2 linked regions of the Sus scrofa genome follow. The protein of the gene in region 2 purifies or fractionates together with the protein of the main gene of each other region. This does not show direct contact. Links are inferred from orthologs where the notes say so. Each region holds a gene or a part of one and is shown on either strand. Other genes may lie near its edges.

Region 1 (3,821 bases), about 120 Mb from region 2:
ACACTTCAATTGCTATTCTTATCACACTTCAATTGCTATTCTTATCACAAGGTCTTGTAATGATCTGCTACACATGTCTCTCCTCCTCCAGACTCTGAGCTCGGGGAGTCATAGACCATGCCTTTCCACTTGCCACTAAGCACATGGCAGGTAAAGTACTCCCAAATATTTGTGGACTGGCATTCTGGAAATTAAAACCACATATTTCTCTAAAGTGAAAGCAGGCAGTTCAAAGACTGCCTCTGGGGAAGGCAAGGATTTAACTGGGACGGGAACATTTCTGGGAGATAGGAATGTTCCAGATCTTGATCTTGATCTTACATGGGTGTATATATTTGTCAGATTCATCAAACTAGATAATTAACATCTGTGTGTTTTACCATACTGTGTATCACAATAAAAAAGAGTCACACCTACCTCTTTTTGCAGCTTCATGCAATGGATTGTCAATGGATTCTGCCTGTTCAGCCACTAGATTGAAAAGAAAAAGGAAAAACCAGTGCTGAGAGGCCACCCAGCTTCAGAAGTACCACGACTTTCCATCGTACAGTTTCCCTTACTTAATGTGGATTTAAAAAAAAAAAAAAACGACAGATAATCAAAATGATGTTTTGTGCTTTGAAAGAAGCTGAATTATGTGTCAAATGAAACCAGGCTAAAACAATAACCTAGCAATTAACTGTGAGGATAAACAGAAACAAACATAGCAATTAACTGGAAGTATGAATAAAAACAACAACAGAAAAAGTATGATCAAAAACAGATCCAAGGTCTGCACACCAGTTTACTCAAGTGTTTCACAAATTTAGTCAGGAAACTGCAAAAGAAAGCATTTGATGTTGACTTTTACATACTATAAAAACATCCTGCTTTGAAGATGGCTAAAAAGAATTGTCTCCCTTGTGTGCATATGAGGAATGGGGTAAAGGAGAAATATTTTGCTTTCTGCATTCAGAAAGGGCAATCAGCACACCTATACTTGCCTCTACAGAAGGTGTGTTCACTGTTGTCCTAGAGTCAGTCAGAGTGACCATGTGAAGCTTGCTGTCCAAGTGACTTCAGACCCACCCCTCCCACACAAAGGGCTATGGACACTCCCTTGGCTACGAGGTATCTAAAGCAACAGAGGAATATTTTATACCCTCAGTGTCTGTAACCAGCTGGGTCTGGGATGCATAGTAGAAGTTTATTTGGGATTTCAAAGGTTAGAGGAGTGTAGAAACATTTGAAGTCTTAAAATCCAGAATGGTATGGCCCTTAGACTGGTAAGTGGGACCCCTGTGCTGAGACTCAGGCCTCAACCTCACTCATTTTCCTCCCCTCTCCCTTCTTCTCCTCCTCTCCACTCCCCCAGGAGCTTTACGTACCTTCCTGAAATTTCCTAAGTCCCCTTCCAGTGTTTGGAACTGGTGCCTGATGTCAGCCCTATTGGTCTAAGGATGTATCTAAATGCTCAAGTTCAAAAGAATCTTAGAAGTGATTTAAATCAAACCCTCTCATTAGACACATAGAGAAATGGTCCCAGGAGCAGCAGTTAAATTCCTTAACTAAGGTCCCTTGTTACAAAGTGGAAGAAGAAGGTTTTAAACCCAAGACCCTTGTTTATCAATCCTATGCGCTTTTTACTTTACTCTGCTGATTTTTATGAAACTCTGTTTTATCCCCCTTCTGATTAGAACCAGCCTCATGGCCAGGGCCCCATCTCATGGCTCAAGCTCCCTAAACTGCTCTATTACTCATTTAAAGAACATCACTGCCCCAAACATTAATTAATATACACAGCAAGGTTACCTCATCACAAAAGGACTAGTCTGAAAAACAAAAAAGAAGGAAAAGAAAAAGAAGAAGAAAAATGTTCTAAGAGTTGAAGGAAATAAAACCATGAGCATTTTATCCTTGGAAATGTTAGGTTCTTTCAAGAATGTTACAATGCATTTTCTTAAGTCAAGCTCAAGTACCTCCAGTGTCCACGACCACTTTATTAAGGGCAGGTTCAGAGTAGAAAATGTCCGAGCCTGGCAATGACTCCAATGATTTCTCTGCCACAGCAGGAAGCAGAAAGGCCTCAGGAATCAGACAAATGAAAGTACACAAAGTACACCCCAAGTAAAGCCACTGCAGCCAGGCTTACCGTAGTTGCTTGGGATCAGTCCAGTCCTGCCTTTGGAAGTGCCTTTCCACCAATTGGTATCACTCTGGTGAAAGAAGAGTTAGATTATTAGGTGGCACCTAAATAGTGATGTTCTGGTCACATGCCATCACTTTGAAAACCATGTGGCTTTTTTTTTTTTTTCCATTTTCACAGGGCAGAACAGAAAATATTTTTGTTTTGTTTTGTTTTAGGTAAAATACAACACACTTCCAACTCAAATACAGAGTTGCTGCTCTACTAAGTGCCCACTGCCCCTGGTCACATTGATCAAGTTTCCTCACTCCCTAGTTACTGATTCCCTTTATCACTAAAGTCTAAATATACACACATCTGCCTGTAACAAATTGAATAAACTTTGCTGGAGAGCCTCAACAGTCAAACAAATCAAATGGAAATAATATGAAAGAGAAGGAAAAAAAATTATATTTAGTTTGATCATCTACAGGATTTATTTTGTCCAGAGTCTAACTTCTCTTAGTCTCAAAAAAAAAAAAAAAAAATATATATATATATATATGTGTGTGTGTGTTTATTTAAACTTTGTTGTTTGCTAACTTTTTATTATAGAAAAATTCAAGCCCATACCAAAGTAGAAAGATAGTATAAGGAACCTACTCATGCCCATTTCCCAACTGCATGAATTATTTACTCACGGCCAACATTATTTCTTATATATCCTTACCTATAACGTCCCTGTCCAGATTACTTTGAAATAAATTCTAGACTTCATATTATCTTATCTATAAATATTTCAATATGAATCTCTGAAAGGTAAGGTCTTTTTCAAAGACATAATAATAATAATACCATTATCACAGCTTAAATTTTTTCAATACTAATTCCTTAATACTACCAAAGAGCTATAATATCAAATTTTCCAGTATGTCTCATAACGGCCTTACAATATGATGGATTTGTTTGCCTCTTCAATCTCTTTTAGCCTATAGGTTCCCCTTTCATTTTTTTTTTTTCATTCCTTTTAATATACTTGTCAAATAAACTAGTTTGTCTTAAAGAGTTTCAAACAGTCTGGATTTTGCTCATTGTATCCTTGTTATCAAAACTGTTCCAGGAGTTCCTGTCGTGGCACAGTCCCATCGTGGCACAGTGGTTAATGAATCCGACTAGGAACCATGAGGTTGCGGGTTCGGTCCCTGCCCTTGCTCAGTGGGTTAACAGGTTAACGATCCGGCGTTGTCGTGAGCTGTGGTGTAGGTTGCAGACGTGTATCGGATCCCACGTTGCTGTGGCTCTGGCGTAGGCTGGGGGCTACAGCTCCAATTAGACCCGTAGCCTGGGAACCTCCACATGCCTTGGGAGCAGCCCAAGAAATCACAAAAAGACAAAAAAAAAAAAACAAAAAAAACAAAAAAAAAAAAAACCCAAAAACCTGTTCCTTTGTGCCCCTGTATTGCCTATAAATTGACATTACTTCTAGAGGCTTAATTAGATTCAGATTCAATTTTTTTAGCAAGACGGTTCCATCTGTAGCACTGATTTTTCCATCAGGAGAAACAGAATGTCTGGTGCTCTCTCTTTTTGTAACATTAGTAACCACTGATGAGCACTACCGGGATCCATTTTTTCTTAAGGGGTGCAAAATGGTGACTTTTCATCATCCCTTCTTGATTTGAATATCTAGGATATTCGTTTAAAACTTTCCTTCATC
Region 2 (3,821 bases):
TGGCAACGCCAGATCCCTAACCCACTGAGTGAGACCAGGGATGGAACGCTCATCCTCATGGATAGTAGCTGGGTTGGTTACTGCTGAGCCACATCGGAAACTCCTGGAACATTTCTACTTTTAATGTGATGCAGCCTGAAGGCTGCTCTGGCAAGAAGCAGTGGTATCTTCAGAAGGATGCACTCAAGGAGGAAGCTGCTGGGCTCAAAGGGGCTTTTCTTCCTCTTTTACTAGCTTCCAGTGCACTGACAGGATCTCCCTCATAGGAGGGAGCTTAGTCTAGGAAGTATTAGCATATGAAGAGTTAGGGAATCTCAGCCTGCAAGGAAGCCCCTCTGCCAAAAGCAAGCCAGAATGCTGACAGGAAGAGCAAGTTCCCGCCTGTGAACTTGGAGCTGAAGGGAGCATCTGGCAATGACTCCAGGATTGCAGATTATGGAGACCAATCCTGGGCATTAACAAGAGGAAGGGCTTCAAGGACTCCAAGAAAACTTCCCTTTTAGGACACTCAGAGGTCACAGCTGTCATAAAACTAAAAAAGCTTTACTGATGACCTCAAGGCCACCTCTGCTTGGCCTTTCCTGGTGAAATGGGGTAGGTCTTCAACAAGAGCAAGGCGGGCTTGACGCTTGGCCCCACCGCAGTAATAGCAATTATGCTCGGCTTGTTTCACATACTAGGTTTATCTCTCACATTTTATGAGAACAAAGAATCCGAGGATCCCTTGATCAGAGGAGCAGATCAGAAGGCACCTTTTCTTGTCATCTCATTCCCTGAGGAATAAGATCGCCCTGAGACCCATGAAGGTCAGATCTTCCTAGGGAAGAAGAGGAAACTCAGTTCTTGTCATTTTTTTTTTTTTTTTGTCTTTTAGGACCGCACCAGCGGCATATGGAGGTTCTTAGGCTGGGGTCTAATTGGGGCTGTAGCCGCCAGCCTACACCACAGCTACACCAAAGAGGGATCCGAACCGTGTCTGCGACCTACACCACAGCTCATGGCGACGCTGGGTCCTTAACCCACGGAATGAGACCAGGGATCAAACCCGAAACCTCATGGTTCCTAGTCGGATTCATTTCCACTGGGCCACAGTGGGAACTCTTTCATCACGATTTTGATTGGGGAGCCTGCCTAGGCCCTTCCCTAGGCTGTGCGTGGAGTAGCAGAGGGTGATGCTGAGGCCAGAGGGGGCTGCCCCGCCCCCACCCCCCACTCACCTGAGGGACACGGACAAGATCCTCTCCATCTCAATTCTCCGCTTCAGCACCTCCTTCACCAGGCCTTTGTCTGGGCCTTGTTTGACCTTTTCTCGTCCAATTAAGTACAAACACTTGGGAGTAAGGAGCAAGTCTCGCTTGACACTCTGCAAGGAGAGGTGTGTTAAGAAAGGTCAAAGTGACAGCCGTCCACAAGATGGGCCTTTGTGCCAGGTGAAGGGAAGCTGTGTCAGATGGCAAAATTCTGCTACCTTTGGATGGCCACTCCATTTATCACCTAACCACATCTCTTGGGAGCAAAAGTGAGCATTATTAATGATTATTAGGTCAATGTATATAAAACCTCTGATACTTGACTCTCTTTGACTTACAAAAACGGCAGACTCATATGGATCCTCCTATGGTGTCAGGACAACAGGTGCGAAGGAACAGTCTGGGGCAAACCAAGGCATATGATGACCCTACTGCTACAGAATGTTTCTCACACAGGAATCCCTCAAGTGTCTGCCTATGTAATTTTTGTGAGTCCATGAAATTTTCACCTTTTAAAAATTGGTAAATTTTAATTTCACAGATAATCCTTAAAAATATAACATAAGCATACTGTGTTACACGCAGACACTACTGAGAGCCCATGTTTGCATTCAACTCCACCGCTAGAGCAGCTGGCACCACATTCAGGTTGTAAGGAATGATTTGGTTTCAGCAAAACATCATCATCCTTCTTGCTAAATGAATCTTGTTATTTATTTCATTGTTTTCCTTTCCTGACCAAAAAACAAACAAGAAACAACACACAAAAATGTTCTTAATGGGTCCATGAGCTGTCAAGATTTCAGATTTCACTATGAGGCCAAGATTTTATCAGGGAAAACAAAGTGTCTAAGGGAAGAGGTTAAAAAACAAAAACAAAAAAACAGTCATCCCGAGTGGCTACATGAAAGTCCTGCTTAGTCTTTCCCTCAGGGGAGATGGGTAAACACCTTGCTTGATACTCTGAATCTTTCAACCCAGTGATTCCACACCTATCAGTTTATTTTAAAGATCTGTAAAGACCAGTGTAAGGATGCTCACTGCATCCTTTTACTTATGATAGTAAAAAAAAAAAAAAAAAAGAAAGAAAAAGAAGAAGCTCATAAGAAACTGGTTTAACATATCGTGAGAGCCCCCATCATGGCTCAGTAGTAATGAACCCAACTATACCCATGAGGACACGGATTCGATCCCTGGCCTTGCTCAGTGGGTAAAGGATCTGGCAATGCCATGAGCTGCAGTGTAGTTCGCAGATGTGCTCGGATCTGATGTTGTGGCTGTGATGTAGGCCGGCAGCTGTAGCTCCAATTTGACCCCTAGCCTGGGATCCTCCATATGCCACTAGTGTGGCTCTAAAAAGACAATATATATATGTAAGTAACTGTTGGATACTATGCAGCTAAACAAAATAATTCATACTGACACATCTATTAATATGGAATGTTCTCCCACACACTGTAAGAGAAAAACAACCCAGGACATAAACCAGCCGGGAAAGGTGTGTGCATAGAGAAGTTCTAAGGGATTAAATACAAAATGTTACCAGCGCTTGTTTCTGGGTACGGGTGGTTATTTGTCTTCTGGCTTCTCTGCATTTTGTAAATTTTTCTACTGTTTTAATAATCAGAAAAGCAAAATTGTATATTACTTTTACTTTTTTTTATTTTTTGCTTTATATAGGGCCACAGCCTCGGCCTATGGAAGTTCCCAGGCTATGGGTTGAATCAGAGCTGCAGCTGCCGGCCTACACCACAGCCTCAGCAATGCAGGATCTGCATCTGCAACCTATACCACAGCTCACGGTAACACCAGATCCTTGATCCACCAAGCAAGGGCAAGGACTGAATGCACATCCTCATGGATACTAGTTGGGTTCATTACCGCTGAGCCACGATGGGAACTCCCTATAAGTTATTTTTAAAACTAAGGACCCTATCCAAAGACAGAAGCAGCAAAAAAAAAATAAATAAAAATAAAAAAGAAATATATAACTAATGACCCTGGAGTTCTATTGTGGTTCAGCAGATTAAAGATCCAGCATTGTCATTTGCAGTGGCTTGGGTCACAGCAGTGATGTGGGTTTGATCCCTGGCCCAAGAACTTCTACATGTGATAAGCAGGGCAAAAAAAAACCCCAAAACCCAAAACCCTAAGGACTCTGATGTGTGACTCAGAGGCGGGCAGTCAGCACATACCTTGAATCTCCTGTCATACTTGGTCACCGTGTCTGCAAAGTCAATCTTCTCTCTCTTGCCTACAAACTGCTGGAGTTCCGGGTGCTCTTCCATCCCGATGTAATCTCCGATGAAGTTTCTGTTAATACTGTTTCTCCTTCTCTCCTTCTTGTTCAACAGCAGGTCTGAGGCTGCAATTCCCAAAAAGGCAGAAGAGGGTCAGTTTCCCAGCAGCAGGAGGAGGAAAGCACTCAGTGTGGAATCACAGAGAGAAACGCTAAATGAACACAATTTTTCAACACACGATACTATATGGGAAGGAAAATGAACGCATGACTTCATTTAAGCTCAAAAGTAATTTGCGATTTTGTAAATACATGAAGCAAAGTGACTACAA

The links.
Region 1: the proteins of MYO1E (region 2) and OSTF1 purify together in Homo sapiens (co-immunoprecipitation; 3 studies listed by BioGRID and IntAct, counting the BioPlex papers as one, with this or other methods). This does not show direct contact. The link is inferred for Sus scrofa from reciprocal best matches to the Homo sapiens genes MYO1E and OSTF1.

The regions. Positions count from the first base shown.
Region 1 is NC_010443.5:228,176,520-228,180,340, reverse strand, and holds part of OSTF1 (osteoclast-stimulating factor 1), read right to left. Parts: intron 2,196-3,821; coding exon 2,132-2,195; intron 472-2,131; coding exon 418-471; intron 1-417.
Region 2 is NC_010443.5:112,862,486-112,866,306, reverse strand, and holds part of MYO1E (unconventional myosin-Ie), read right to left. Parts: intron 3,616-3,821; coding exon 3,446-3,615; intron 1,364-3,445; coding exon 1,218-1,363; intron 1-1,217. UniProt on the Homo sapiens protein: Actin-based motor molecule with ATPase activity. Unconventional myosins serve in intracellular movements. Their highly divergent tails bind to membranous compartments, which are then moved relative to actin filaments.